Linked DNA regions of Elephas maximus indicus. The protein of the gene in region 1 purifies or fractionates together with the protein of each later gene. This does not show direct contact. Links are inferred from orthologs where the notes say so. Each region holds a gene or a part of one and is shown in the gene's direction. Other genes may lie near its edges.

What was found. The genes of interacting proteins can lie anywhere in the genome.
Region 2: the proteins of UPF1 (region 1) and XRN1 purify together in Homo sapiens (affinity purification with western blotting; 4 studies listed by BioGRID and IntAct, with this or other methods). This does not show direct contact. The link is inferred for Elephas maximus indicus from reciprocal best matches to the Homo sapiens genes UPF1 and XRN1.

The regions. Positions count from the first base shown.
Region 1 is NC_064821.1:38,707,661-38,715,244, forward strand, and holds the start of UPF1 (regulator of nonsense transcripts 1), read left to right. Parts: upstream 1-4,565; 5' UTR 4,566-4,827; coding exon 4,828-5,052; intron 5,053-7,584. UniProt on the Homo sapiens protein: RNA-dependent helicase required for nonsense-mediated decay (NMD) of aberrant mRNAs containing premature stop codons and modulates the expression level of normal mRNAs.
Region 2 is NC_064841.1:17,336,261-17,343,240, forward strand, and holds the start of XRN1 (5'-3' exoribonuclease 1), read left to right. Parts: upstream 1-3,970; 5' UTR 3,971-4,062; coding exon 4,063-4,137; intron 4,138-6,980. Other genes in the region: serine/threonine-protein kinase ATR, read left to right, coding at 1,438-1,540, 2,419-2,592. UniProt on the Homo sapiens protein: Major 5'-3' exoribonuclease involved in mRNA decay. Required for the 5'-3'-processing of the G4 tetraplex-containing DNA and RNA substrates. The kinetic of hydrolysis is faster for G4 RNA tetraplex than for G4 DNA tetraplex and monomeric RNA tetraplex.

The DNA.
Region 1 (7,584 bases):
TGAAGGAAGAAGTCCAAGCTGCACTGAAGGCATTGGTGAAAAACAAGGCGCCAGGGATTGATGGAATACCAACTGAGATGTTTCAATGAACAAATGCAGCGCTGGTGTTGCTCACTCATCTTTGTCAAGAAATTTGGAAGTCGGACCTGGCCAAGCGACTTGAAGAGATCCACATTTATGCCTATTCCCAAGAAAGGTGATCCAACCAAATGCAGAAATTATCAAACAATACCATTAATATCATATGCAAGTAAAATTTTGCTGACGATCATTCAAAAGCGGCTGCAGCAGTACATCGACAGGGAACTGCCAGAAATTCAAGCCAGATTCAGAAGAGGATGTGGAACGAAGGATATCATTGCTGATGTCAGATGGATCCTGGCTAAAAGCAGAGAACACTGGAAGGATGTTTACCTGTGTTTTATTGACTCTGCAAAGGCATTCGACTGTGTGGATCAAAATTATGGATAACATTGCGAAGAATGGGAATTCCAGAACACTTAATTGTGCTCATGAGGAACCTGTACATAGATCAAGAGGCAGTTGTTTGAACAGAACAAGGGGATACTGCGTGGATTAAAGTCAGGAAAGCAGTGTGTCAGGGCTGCATTCTTTCACCATACTTATTCAATCTGTATGCTGAGCAAATAATCCAAGAAGCTGGACTGTACGCAGAAGAATGCAGCATCAGGATTGGAGGAAGACTCATTAACAAACTGCGTTATGCAGATAACACAAGATTGCTTGCTCAAAGTGAAGAGGACTTGAAGCACTTACTGATGAAAATCAAAGACCCCAGCCTTCAGTATGGATTACACCTCAACATGAAACAAAAATCCTCACAACTGGACCAATAAGTAGCATCATGATAAACTGAGATAAGATTGAAGTTGTCGAGGATTTCATTTTACTTGGTTTCACAATCAACACCCATGGAAGCGGCAGTCAAGGAATCAAAAGATGCATTGCATTGGGCAAATCTGCTGCAAAAGATCTCTTTAAAGCACTAAAAAGCAAAGATGTCACCTTGAAGGCTAAGGTGCACCTGACCCAAGCCATGGTGTTTTCAATTGCCTCATATGCATGCAAAAGCTGGACAATGAATAAAGAAGACTGAAGAAGAATTGATGCCTTTGAATTTTGGTGTTGGTGAAGAATACTGAATATACAATGGACTGCCAAAAGAACAAACAAATCTGTCTTGGAAGAAGTACGACCAGAATGCTCCTTAGAAGCAAGGATGGTGACACTAAGTCTCACATACTTTGGACATGCTATCAGGAGGGATCAGTCCCTGGAGAAGGACATCATGCTTGGTAGAAGGTCAGGGAAAAAGAGGAAGACCTTCAACGAGATGGATTGACATAGTGGCTGCAACAATGGGCTCAAGCGTAGCAATGACTATGAGGATAGCGCAGGACCAGGCAGTGTTTCATTCTGTCATACATGGGGTTGCTTGAGTTGGAACTGACTCGATGACTCCTAACAACAACATGATCTGGGGACAGGAGAGGAAGTGTGGTGCTCCAAGTCACTTTACAAATGAGTCAAGTCGCCATACTTGTAGCTGACCTAGGCCTTAAAAGCTCTGAAAGCCTTTTACTGAGCACCTATTGTATGCGGGCATTACTCTCCACGTCGGTAAGACCATTCTGAATAAGGCCAAGCCCTGTCCTCATGGAACTTCCTTCCTAAATACTTCATAATGAGGAGAGTGCATGGTAGCTCAGCTAATCCTCGCCACCATTCTAATGGTGCTTATGTCCCTTTGGTGGCCAAGGAAACCCCAGGCTTGGAGCGGTAAAGTCACTTGTACTCAGTTGTACAGCCAGGAACAGCCAGGCCCAGAGGTCACTCCAGAGCAAGTACTCCCAAGTGCTTTGCTATGTTCTGCCTCTGAATAATAACAACAACAATAACAGTAATAATAGGAGTAATAATAATGCCAGCTGTAGTAGTAGCAGTAATAGAGGTGAGTAGCATCGGCAGTAATAGTTGTGGTAATAGTATCAGTAGTAGCAGTAATAAGAGTATTAAGTGTCAGGGGTGTCACTTGCAGCTACAAATACTATAGTAGTGGTAGTAGAATATGAATAATGGGAGTAATAATATCGTCAGAAGCGGCAGTAGTAGTAATAAGCAAAGTAATAGGGATAATAATAGTGTCAGTGGTAGCACAGTAGTGGTAGGAGTAGTAATAGGAATAACAATAGTGTCGATGGTATTAGTTGCAGCTGTAACCGCCATGTTAGTAGAAGTAATAATAGTATCAGCAGCAGCAGCAATAGGCGTAAAAAGTGTCACGTAGCAGTAGTAGTAATAATAACAGGAGTAACAACAGTGTAGGTAGTAGTAGTAATTGGAATTAACAATGATGTCAGAGACTTTAGTCTCAGCAACAAACACCGCAGTAGTAGTAGCAGTGCTAGTAGTGGTAGTGATGTTGTTGTTGTTAGGTGCTGTCGAGTCGATTCCGACTCACAGCGACCCTGTGCACAACACAATGAAACACTGCCTGGTCCTGTGCCATCCTCACAATTGTTGCTATGCTTGAGCCCACTGTTGCAGCTACTGATCCACCTCTTGAGGGTCTTCCTCTTTTTTGCTGACTTTCTATTTTACCAACCATGATGTCTTTCTCCAGGAACTGATCCCTCTTGACAACATGCCCAAAGTATGTGAGACGTAGTCTCGCCATCCTTACTTCTAAGGAGCATTCTGGCTGCACTTCTTCCGAGACAGGCATGTTCGTTCTTTTGGCAGTCCAGGGTATACTCAATATTCTTCGCCAACACCACAATTCAAAGGCGTCAGTTCTTCTTCAGTCTTCCTTATTCATTGTCCAGCTTTTGCATGCATATGAGGCAACTGAAAACACCATGGCTTGGGTCAGGTGCACCTTAGTCTTCAAGGTGACATCTTTGCTTTTTAACACTTTAAAGAGGTCTTTTACAGCCGATTTGCCCAATGCAACGTGTATTTTAGTTTCTTGACTGCTGCTTCCATGGGTGTTGATGATAGTAATAGGAGTAATGATAGTGTCAGTAGTGGTAGGGGTTGTAATTAAAAAAAAAAAAAACCTCATTGCCGTTGAGTTGATTCTGACTCATAGCAACCCTACAGGAGAGAGTAGAACTGCTCCATAGGGTTTCCAAGGAGTGGCCAGTGGATTCGAACTGTTGACCTTTTGGCTAGCAGCCAAGCTCTTAACCACTGTGCCACTAATGTTAGTAGCAGTAGTAAAGATAGTATTACTAGTAGCAGCAACAACATTGTCAAGTATTAGTGATAATAGGAGTAACAACAGTGTCTGTAATAGCAGTGATGGGAATAACAGTAGCGTCAGGGGCCTCAATTGCAGCAGCAAACACCATAGTATTAGCACTAGTAGTAATGATAGGAGTAATAGCAGTGTCAATTGTAATGTTGTTGTTGTTAGTTGCTGTTGAGTCAATTCTGGCTCACGATGACCCCATATGTGCAGAGCAGAACTGTGCTCCATGGTGTTTTGAAGGCCATTACCTTTCAGAAGCAGATTACCAGGCATTTCTTCCGAGGTGCCTCTGGGTGGGTTCAAGCCACCACCCAGGGAGTCCTCAGTAGTAGTAGTAGAAATTAATAATAGGTCAGTAAGCGTTTTTTTTTTTTTTTTTAAGAAGCAGTAAGAGCCCTGGTGGAGCAGTGGTTATGAGCTCGGCTGCTAACCAAAAGGTCAGCCGTTTGAATCCACCAGCTACTCCTTGGAAACCCTATGGGGCACTTCTACTGTGTCCTGTAGGGTTGCTGAGTCAGAATCGACTTGACGGCAACGGGTTTTGTTTTTTTTTTTTTGGTTTAGCAGCAGTAAAAGGAGTAACAATTATCAGGGGGGTAAGCTGCAGCAGCAAACACCATAGTAATAGCAGTAGTAATAGGACCAATAACAGTGTCAGTAGTAATGGTATTGCTGTTAGTATTAGCAACAGGAGTTAATAATAGTGTCAGGAGTAATGTTAATAATACTAATAATAGGAGTAATACCAATGTCAGTAATAGGAGTAACAAGTGTGAAGGAGTCAGTTGCAGTATCAGCTGACACTGTTTCCGTGGGCCAGACCCAGTGCTAAGGGCTGTAGGAAAACTAGTGTATTCAACGAGCGCGCACCGAGCACCTACTATGACCCAGGCACCCCCATGCAGTCAGGGACCCATTCTACAGATAGGAACACTGAGGCCCAGGAGCTTATCCTGATCACGGGAGGCGTCCCCACTCGCGCAGGAGCGTTCGATCCAGTGCCCAGCCTCCCAGACCCGTCACAGCCTCCGGAGCGGCGCGCCACCTCGGCACCACCGGTCGCCGGGATCCCGCTGAGCAGCAGTTGGGGCGGGGTCACGTCCTCGCGCTGCCGCCGCGACGACAGTTAAAAGCCCCGCCCCCCCGCGCGTGCGCGGTGCGCGTCCCGTCTTCCTGTTCAGCTCCGGGCGTCGGGCGCGGTTGGCGGCGTCCGCGAGGGGCGCGCGCGCCTGCGCCAGAGTCGAGCTCGCGCACGCGCATCTGCGCCGGCATCGGGCTCGCGCACGCGCACTCGGCGGCGGCGGCGGCGGCGGCGGCGACGGCGGCGGTTCCTGCTGGGCTCGAGCGGCAGTCGCGGCGGTGGATTCAGGCGGCCGGCGCAGGGCAAGGCAGAGGCGGCGAGGCGGCGGTTCTCGGCCCGGGTCTAGGCGGCGGTCGTTCGGTTCGGCCCGAGCCGCGGCGTTGGCGGTGCGTGAGGTCTGAGGCCTAGGTTTCGGTGCGGCGGCGGGCTCGAGTGCGGGCGGAGCGGCCAGACCCGCGGCCCCGGCGGCGCCATGAGCGTGGAGGCGTACGGGCCCAGTTCGCAGACGCTCACCTTTCTGGACACCGAGGAGGCCGAGCTATTGGGCGCCGACACGCAGGGCTCCGAGTTCGAATTCACCGACTTCACCCTCCCCAGCCAGACTCAGACGCCCCCGGGCGGCCCCGGAGGATCCGGGGCGGGAGGCGCTGGAGGCCCGGGCGGCGCGGGCGCTGTGGCCGGACAGCTCGACGCGCAGGTGAGCGGCGCATGGCGGGCCGGAAGCGGGCGGCCTCGGCGCCAGAGATCTGCCACCCCCTCACTCCCGGCCTGCCCAGGGTCCCTTCTCCGAACTGGTCTGGTCACCGGCCCCAGGTCCCGACCCTGTTCTGGGTCTTCCCCGGAAGGGTCTAGATCCCTTCCGATATGCCGAGGGTCCCCCTTCCAGCGTGTCGTTTGGCTCCCCTCTCCGAACGAGTCTGAGTCTCTAGCCCTCAGTCCCGGCCCTGCTTGGGGCCCCCCTTCTCTGAACGGGTCCGTGGTGGCCTGCCTGGGGTGCCGTCTTTGGCCTGTTCAGGGTTTCCCCTTTGAACAGGTCTGGGGTCACCTGCCCTGGGCCTTCCCTCCGACCTGCCCTGGGCCTCTTCAGCGAGTCTGGACCCCACCTCTCACCTGCCTCGTCCTCCCCCTGAACGAGTCCAGAGTGACCTGCTCCTTTGGCTGGATCTGGGGTGGTCTGTCCCAGGGTCCCTGGTCCTGCCCAGGGTCCCCCCTGCCTGGGTCTGGGTTTCCTCCGCCCTGCCCCAGGTCCTCTCCGACCTGGGTACTTCTTCCTTCTGAACAAGTCTGGGTGATGTGCCCCATTTCCCTCTGGCCAGTTGGCCTCCCTCCTCCCACCTGTGGCCGCTGCCACCTGGGCACCCCCATTCACACCCACCGATCCGGAGGCTTGCATCCCCCCCCCCCCCGCCCGCCCTGGACGCTCGCAGGTGGAATTCTGGGCTCCTGGAGCAAAAAGGGGATTTTTTGTCTTTGATCTGGAACCCTGCACTGGCTTGCTGTTAAGATTATTCAAGAGGCAGGTTGCGTTTTGTTTTTCCTTCTTGTGTTGCCTGTTGCTGAAACCGACCTGTTATGTAACTCCGTAGGCTTGCCTTGGAAAAGTAGGGTTCGAGTTTTGTTCTCCACTGGGATAGCATCGTGGGTTTTACTGAAATGGGCCTGCCCCGTCAGAAACTTTTTTTCTTTTTAATGATGTCAGTATTTAGCGTGAGGCACTTTGCTGTTTTGAATTTGGGCTTGGGTTGCGAGCAGCACTAGGTGCGGGTACTTCCAGGACCTGTGCCCCTCCCAGGGTTCAGGAATGCTGCTATTGTCTTCATCTTCTGATCCATCCTTTCCCTTCACGGGTACATACCCTGTGTCCCGAGCCTCCCTTCCGTTTACTTACCTAGATTTTCACAGGTGAGCTCAAGGTTCACCTGTCTCAGGTGCTTCCTTGGTGAGCATGGGCAGCTAGGCCTGGGGGAGCCACTGCATCCTCATCCTGAGGAAAGGGGGCTTCTAGTCAGTGAGTCACTCCCGTGGGTAAACCACCCACTTAAGCTTTCTTTTAGCTCCCGGGAACAGCAGAACATATTTGACTCATTCTAACCCCAGATTCCTTGAAATAGGTTTGTTGGGAGGGACATCGGGGAGAACAGGTGTGCAGAGATGTGTGATTTTTTTGGTCCTGTTCATGTTTGGGTGAGCAGGTAGGGGAGGGGAGAGTTTTGCCTGGAGGAGTGAGTGGGAGCCTCAGTTTCTGCAGCTATAAAATGGGGGCAGCAGTTGTATAGTAGTTGTTACTTTTCAGGTCTCTGGCATCTAGACTCAGGTGTGAGTGGGCCAGGTAGTGCTGGCTGTGCCTTCTGCCCCGTGCATTTGCTCGGGAGGCCATGGATAAAGTTCATGATGTTGAGCAGTAGGGCCATGACCCTGAGGGTGGTTGTGAAAGGCAGTCGTTTTGTTGCAAATCCCTTTTTAACCGGAGCTGATATGAAACAGCAAACTCAGGGATGGGCTTGAAGTTCTGTCTGTGATTAATTGCTGGGTGTGTCTTCTTTCAGTTGAAATAATCAATTTATTTTCGTGCACCTGAGCACTGAGCTGTACAAAATGATGAGAGCATTCAAATGCTCTGCTGGCAGTAAACATTGCAGCCAAGCTCGTTGGAGTTCTGTTGACATGAAAAGTTTTTGTCCTTTGTGACATTTAATTAACCCCGATGATGTAAAGTTTTTTATATCCACGCAGACGTGACCCTGCCTACCTGTAGTCTAACTCTCAGTCTTTGGGGAAGGGTAGTGACTTCTGTGTGGGTTGGAGGAGGACCCAAATTGGGGGCAGGGAAGTCTGTGAGTGCAATTGGAGAGTGGAAGGTTGATTGGCTCTTGTGCCAGTTGTTGGTGTGGGTTGCCTAAAGCATTTGGGAAGGGTTTCCCTACTTGTACTCAGGAGTTGGCGAGGGAACCAACTATGTGGTAAGGGCTTCTGCAAAGACCTGGAAAGCTACTTGTTCCACCTTGTGATAATTCACGTATCATACAATTCATCTATTTAAAGGGTATGGTTCAGTGGCTTTTAGTGCGTTCATGGTGTTGTACAGCTACAGTCAGTTTTTGAATATATCCTCCCCCAAAAGAAACCCTGTGCCCATCCGTAGCCACTCCTAATCCCCCTTCCCGGCAACCCCTGGTAGCCACTAATTTACTTTCTGTCTCCGTATTGTGGACATTTTGTGTAAATGGAA
Region 2 (6,980 bases), on another chromosome or scaffold:
CCCACCGGGAGCAAAGGCAAAGGAAGAACACCAAGGTCACACGACAACTAAGAACCCAAGAGACAGAAAGGGCCACTTGAACCAGAGACCTACATTATCCTGAGACCAGAAGAACTAGTTGGTGCCCGGCCACAATCGATGTCTGCCCTGTCAGGGAACACAACAGACAACTCCTGAGGGAGCAGGAGACCCCAAATTCTCATTAAAAGACCACACCTAATGCTATGATTGCGACTAGAGGAATCCCAGAGACAATGCTCCCCAGAACTTCTGATGGCACAGGACAGGAACCATCCCCGAAGACAAATCATCAGGCATGAAAAGGACTGGTCAGTGGGGGGGAGAGAGATACTGATGAAGAGTGAGCTATTTAAATCAGGTGGACACGGGAGAGTGTGTTGGCAACTCTTGACTGGAGGGGGGATGGGAAGATAGAGAGAGAGGGAAGATGGTAAAATTGGCACGAAACGAGAGACTGTAAGGGCTGACTCAATAGGGGGAGAGCAAGTGGGAGAAGGGAGTAAGATGTATGTAAACCTACATGTGACAGACTGATTGGAATGGTAAATGTTCACTTGAAGCTTAATAAAAATTAAAAAAAAAAAAGGAAATGAGATAATCAGATTTGCATAGTAGAAAAATTGGGTTCCCTGCTTGGACCAGACAGAGGCTAGAAAACTAGTTAGAAGACTGTTTCAGTAACTCAGGAAAAAATGATGGTGCACTGGATGGTAGTGGCACTAAGGATGGAGATAAGTAGAGAGATTCTAAAGAGGTAGAATTGGGTGTTAGAGGAGGAGGCAAGGATGATCACCAGTAAGGATGGAGATAAGTAGAGAGATTCTAAAGAGGTTAGAATTGGGTGTTAGAAGAGGAGGCAAGGATGATCACCAGATTTTTGTCCAGGGCAAGTAGGTGAATGATGTTTTTTACTGATTTGGGGAATACAGGAGAAATAGTAAATTTGGGAAAAGGTAATGAGTTTTGTTTTGGATATAACTGAGTTTGAGATACCTGTAAGACATCCAAGTGGGTGTTTCCCATAAGTAGTTAAATTTGACATTTAGAACTCAGAAGAAAGATCTAGGCTGGGTCTGTATGGTAGCTGTAAGTGTATTATATGGTCATTGAAGACATGGCACTGGATAAAATCCATTCATTCAATATATGTTGATTTACCAAATCACACTAAGCATTTAGAAATGGCACATAGAACTGATCTGACTCTACTCTCCACAGACCACCTCTGCCCCTCCTTTGTTTTGCACCTCTGTACCCTTCTCTTGCCCTCTCCTCACCCCTAAAACACTAACTTTACATATGTTACTGAAAAGGTAGTAGTATTTTTTGTAACAGTATTATCATTAGCTTCTAATTCTTTTAAGATTTCTTTTTGCAAATATTGTATTATTACCTTAATATCTGTTACAATTTTAGTGTCTTAAAGACTTTTCTACATGATCCTCTTGTGGAGTGGAGTAAACCAGTGAAAGGGAATTCCAAAGCACATAATGAAACCGGGGAAGTTGTCAATGAAAAGGTTGGTAGAAGGTGTAGCTTGTTTCTACAAATGAGAACTGATTCTAAATTCTGCCAGTGACTAGCCAGTGATTACCCTGAAATCTAGTTATGTGTTATGACAGTGCCCTAATTTTCCTTATTGTCATTACTATTAACATTATTAGCATTTGTGTGACAAAACACTTCATACTTATTTAACCATAAACAATTGACAGTTACGGAAAAACTTGAGTACAAATTGCTTGAATTTATAGAGCAAGTCTCAGCTTCAATATGGTGACACCAAGTATCCCACAATCCACCTTGACAGATGTAGCCCTTCCCTTATTACTAGTGTTAGTCAAAACCTCAAAGTTTGCAGGTAATTAGCTATTTTTAATAAGCTAGACATATATCGAGGATAATTTTTCTAATGTCTCTCCCACTCTTAGATTCTGATAAGCTTTCTCAGTTGAGAGAAATGTGTAGAATTCCAAGTAGCTCACTTAGAACTTCTATGTGCATGAACCAACATAATCTAAATATTAGGCATTAGAGTATCATTGCTATTAGAATATCCATTCAAACGTGTACGTTACATACACTTTCAAAGCAGATTTTTAAAATTATTATTTTTCTAGAATTGTAATGTGGAAGGAATTTCCTGATATTTCACATAGTCCAGAAAAATGTCCAAGCAGTTGATGTTGGATCAACATTGCCAGCCTTGAAAGCAATATCTTAAGTTATTTTGTTTCATTTCTTCCTTTTTCTGTATTTTCCCTAACAAAAGGGGTAGTGATCATTAAAATGGCATTAACATTTCTTACAAAACAATAAAGGCAGCAATTCCAAGTTATTAACATCCATATGTTATTATGCTCTTAGCCCTTATCATTTTCTGTTTCTTCCTTTTAGGCCAAGACCCATGTTCTTGACATTGAGCAGCGATTACAAGGTGTAATCAAGACTCATAACAGAGTGACAGGGCTGCCATTATCTATTGAAGGACATGTGCATTACCTTATACAAGAAGCTACTGACGAAAACTTACTATGCCAAATGTATCTTGGCTGGACCCCTTATATGTGAAATGAAATTATTTCAAAGAATATGTTAGTAATGTAAGATTATTGCATTTGGCACTGGCTGTGGTTGTATCTGTTCAGTTCCAAAGTACAAGATAAGTTTATGTTCTTAGAGCAGCTATTATTATTTCTCCTTGATTGTTAATAATATTTAAAATAATATATGTTCATTTATTAAGAAATAAACTGCTTTCTTAATACATACTGTGTATTTATAACTGGAAAAATGGAACATCATTTGTTCTTACGGTCTAAAAATGTAATTTTGCAAGAAACAAGCCAACCTACTTTGATTTTACAATTTTCATTGATTTCCTTTTAAAAGTACCAATTAGCATAAGGATTCCTTTGAACAACAACAAAAAGCTTCTATCAATAAATACTGTGGGCAAAGCAGTGTGCTAGACTGGTGCACAGAGGAACTGCCCTCCAGGAATTGACAGTCTAGTAAGAGAGAGATGAACATAAATAGCACGTATTTACGTTCACTTACTAGAACTCTGGTTTTGGTATGATTGAAAGTCTGACAGGGAAAAAACATGCTAAGCCAAGAAGCTGAATGTGAAAACTAAAGTTTCTTTGATTTTAAAAATGCTGCCATTCGCTAGGTGTAACAGAATGCAGAGTCCAGTGATTATGGCAGGCAGCAATACTTAAGAGATTTCTAAAATCTAAAGTTTTTAAATATGGTTTTCTGTGTTTTTGAAGATTTAAAAAAAATAATTCATAATTACAAAGTAATGAGATCATTACGTTCCAATAAATGAAAAACTTAAATTTAGAACAAAAATAGTTTCACGTAAATTCACTTGACATAATCCTGCCTTTTGTAAGGTCGGAAGCCTAATCGGGAAAAAACATGGCACCAAGGGGCACGAATGTGAAAACTAAACATTTATAATTTCCTATCGAGGGCCTAGCTGGGAAACTTTTCCTCAAAACAATTTGGGGAACAAGTATTAAAGAAAAAATTTTGTTATAAGTTTACATACCTAAAAGAAAATAATTTTCCTTCGCCAAAGAAACAACAATCTAAACCAAGTAAATCACCAGACCTTTCCAAATCTGTGTTGAAAAACACTGAGATTAGCAATCCCAGGAGCTGGAAGCAGCTGAACAAAAATCAGCGTTCAATACCCTTCCAGCAGTCTCGTGAGGTTTTCATACCACGTATAAACCCGGTGGAGCCTAGCTCCGGCAACTGGCATCTTCAGAACGCTGTTTAACACGCACGTACGGCTCGGCGCCCAAACGTAAGCACCAGCGAGCGCTGCGGCGCGAGTGGAAGGCGGCGGGTCCCGCCCCCGGGATGCCGCCTCGGATCCGGCCGCTCTAGGGCCCGGCGGGCGCGCTCTATGGTCGGGCGGGCGGTGTGTTGTCATCGGCGGAGCGACGGCCGGAGGCGGTGGCGTCGGCCCCGGCGGGGCGTTTGGTTTCGGTTTGGCCCTGACTGGAATTGGTATTGACGGTCGAAATGGGAGTCCCCAAGTTTTACCGATGGATCTCGGAGCGGTATCCCTGCCTCAGCGAAGTGGTGAAAGAGCATCAGGTGGGTGAGCGAGGGGCCGTGGCCCCGAAGGCCGGTGACCGCGGGGGGCTCCGCGGCCCTCTCCCCACCAGCCTTTCTGCCCGCCGTCTGCGGATGAGTGGCGAGGGGAGCGGCGGTGGAAGGTTTGAGGACGGCCGACGGATCCGAATGGGGGCGAAGACGCGGGTGGTATTCGCGTGGGCACTGCCGCGGGGGTCACGGCAGCTTGACAGCTCTCCTGCCGGGCAGGGCCTTCCGCGACTCTGAAATTAAGTCGGGGAAGGAAAGGTTTCAGTGAGTTCGCTTTCTTCCCCGAGGAGGTGCAGGTCGCCCTTTCCTTTATAGGGGTTGCCAGGCGGAGTGGGTGTCCCGCGACATCCCCCCTCCAGCTCTCCCTGCCCGCCTCTAAGAACCGATCAAGTGCAGACAATAAACCGCGCTTCCGCCGTCGGAGCACCTTGTTTACTTCACGCTCCAGAACTCGGTGCCACCGCGCCCCAGCGCCTGGACTTTGACGTGGCCCATCGTTCATGTTTATGATGCCTTTTGTTACTCGTTTTCTGTTGCCCTAAAGACAGTACCAACCCTTTATTGCCAAACAAACAAAAAAACATTTGGGCAGGGAATTATTTAGAGGCTTCATAATGTGTGTGTGTTGGGGGAAGGGGAGAGAGGGAGGCGGGTTGATACAGCTTCACTGCTAGTAATGTCAGTAATATTTGGTACGTGATGACCCCAGGGAAACGTTCATGGTAGATTTCAAAACAGTAGTTCACATATTGGAACTGTGACAAGACAATAGAAGGCAGTCACTTATGAGATAAACTGGCCTTTGGATGATACTTCAGTATTCGACACATTTAATGAATTTTGGTATCGCCTTCGTTTTATATTTTACCGAAAATAGTGTTTTGAAATTTCTGTAGCTGGTTGAATTAGTTGTGATGGATAGCATTATATTAATATTGGGGAAAAATAATGCAGTGAACGACATCGTGCTGTTCATTAAATCATGGTTTATCTTTTTAAAAAGTACTGAAAGCCTGAAGGTAGGGTTAAACTTCTGGAAAGAATTCTTTTTCGGATTCACATCTGATGTATAAGGAAAAATTTACAACGATTCTAAAAGGCAAGCTTATCTTTAGTTTATTTGGAACATAGGTTAAGTTGGATTTACAAAGGCTTTTGTTTCCGGAGAGGAGGGTAAAAAAAGAATACAAGTACATTAGGGAAAATGGAGACAACTAAATATGGCATTTCTGGATCCCTCATTCAACAAACATTTGAGTATCTTCTGTGCATCACTCACTTTATCTCTGATGTGAACAAATAAGCTGTTGCTTGGGATGTCTTGATAATATATAATTCATTACTACTTTTATGCTGTACTCTTCAGCATAAAACTTGGTGCAAGTATCTTGGATTCTCTCAATTCTGAGGAATTTGATAACTGAAGAACAAAAATAGTCTCTTTAAGGCAATTTCATGACATAGACACTATAAAAGCTTTAATGAAGATAGAAACTGGGAGTAGGTTTTATTTTATTTTGTTTAATTTTTAATTATTCCACTGTAAGTAAATTTTAAAACTTGGTTGATCAAAGCAATGTCTTTCAAAGTGTTTGATTCTTGTAGTTAACAACAGCAAAAAAGACAAATGTTATAAAGCGATACCAGCTGCGCTCTCAAGAAGGCCTTGAAAGATAACGCCTTATTTGGCTACAGTGATTCAATAGCTAGTACTAGGGGGAAGAAGTCAGGGGAAGGAGATTTTAGGAAAATAGTGGCAGCAGCATTGGTTTTCAGTCTCTCTGAATCTTCATGTAAAAGCAGAAAGAACAAATAGCAAAATTAAAAGTACATGAAACATTTACAACAAAACCAGTATATCCTGGTGTCCCTGTAAACTCCAAAATACAAATACATAGGGACAAACTAGCAACACCTGTAGGTCTGAATTTTATTAGAATCTGTGTCAGAAAAATAGGGAAGCAGCAATGGGGCAACATCTGATAGATCTGAGAACAGAACTCCAAAATAGCTGAAAGGTGTTCACTGAAAAATACTGCCAGCCAATTTGATGGCAGTAGCTGGAACTAAGGGGTTTTATCCTTTCCAATATTGGTTGACTGAAGGACCCACTGTAAAAAATACCTAGGCAGCTGGAGCAGTGCAGTCCGAACCAAAAAACCAAACCCGTTGCCATCGAGTCATTTCTGACTCATAGCAACCCTATAGGACAGTGTAGGACTGCCCCCTGTAGCGTTTCCAAGGCTGTAATCTTTATGGAAGCCGGCTGCCATATATTCCTACCGCGGATCAGCTGGTGGGTTCTAACCACTGACCTTTTGTTTAGCAGCTGAGGGCTTAACCACTGCACCACTGAACTCTCAAAACTGACTTGCCAAGGCGCTATTTAAGGCAGTGCCCACCTGAGGAAAAACTGCTGGGGTGGAATAAAATGTGATCAGGAAAAGGACAGTGGAGACAAGAAAAGAAAAGGTCCAGACAAAAGTGGGAGAAGGTTAGAATCAGGAAGTCTTAGAAAGCAAAGCATCATTTTTTTAACACTACTCAAGAAGAACAAAAGAGGGAGCTTTTTGACATTAAAGCTTTCCTGAACCCCTCTTCGTTCTAAAAGTTCAGGGAGATTAAATTCTACTCAGTAGGAAACTGTTGTTAGCTGCCGTCGAAACAGCCCTGACACGTGGCGACCCAATGCACAAGATCGGTCCCTTGTGCTCCAGAGGGTTTTCGTTAGCTGACTTTTCAGAAGTAGACCACCAAGCCTTTCTTCCTAATCTTAGCCTGGAAGCTCTGCTGAAACATGTTCAGCATCACAGCAACACACAAAAGTCCATTGA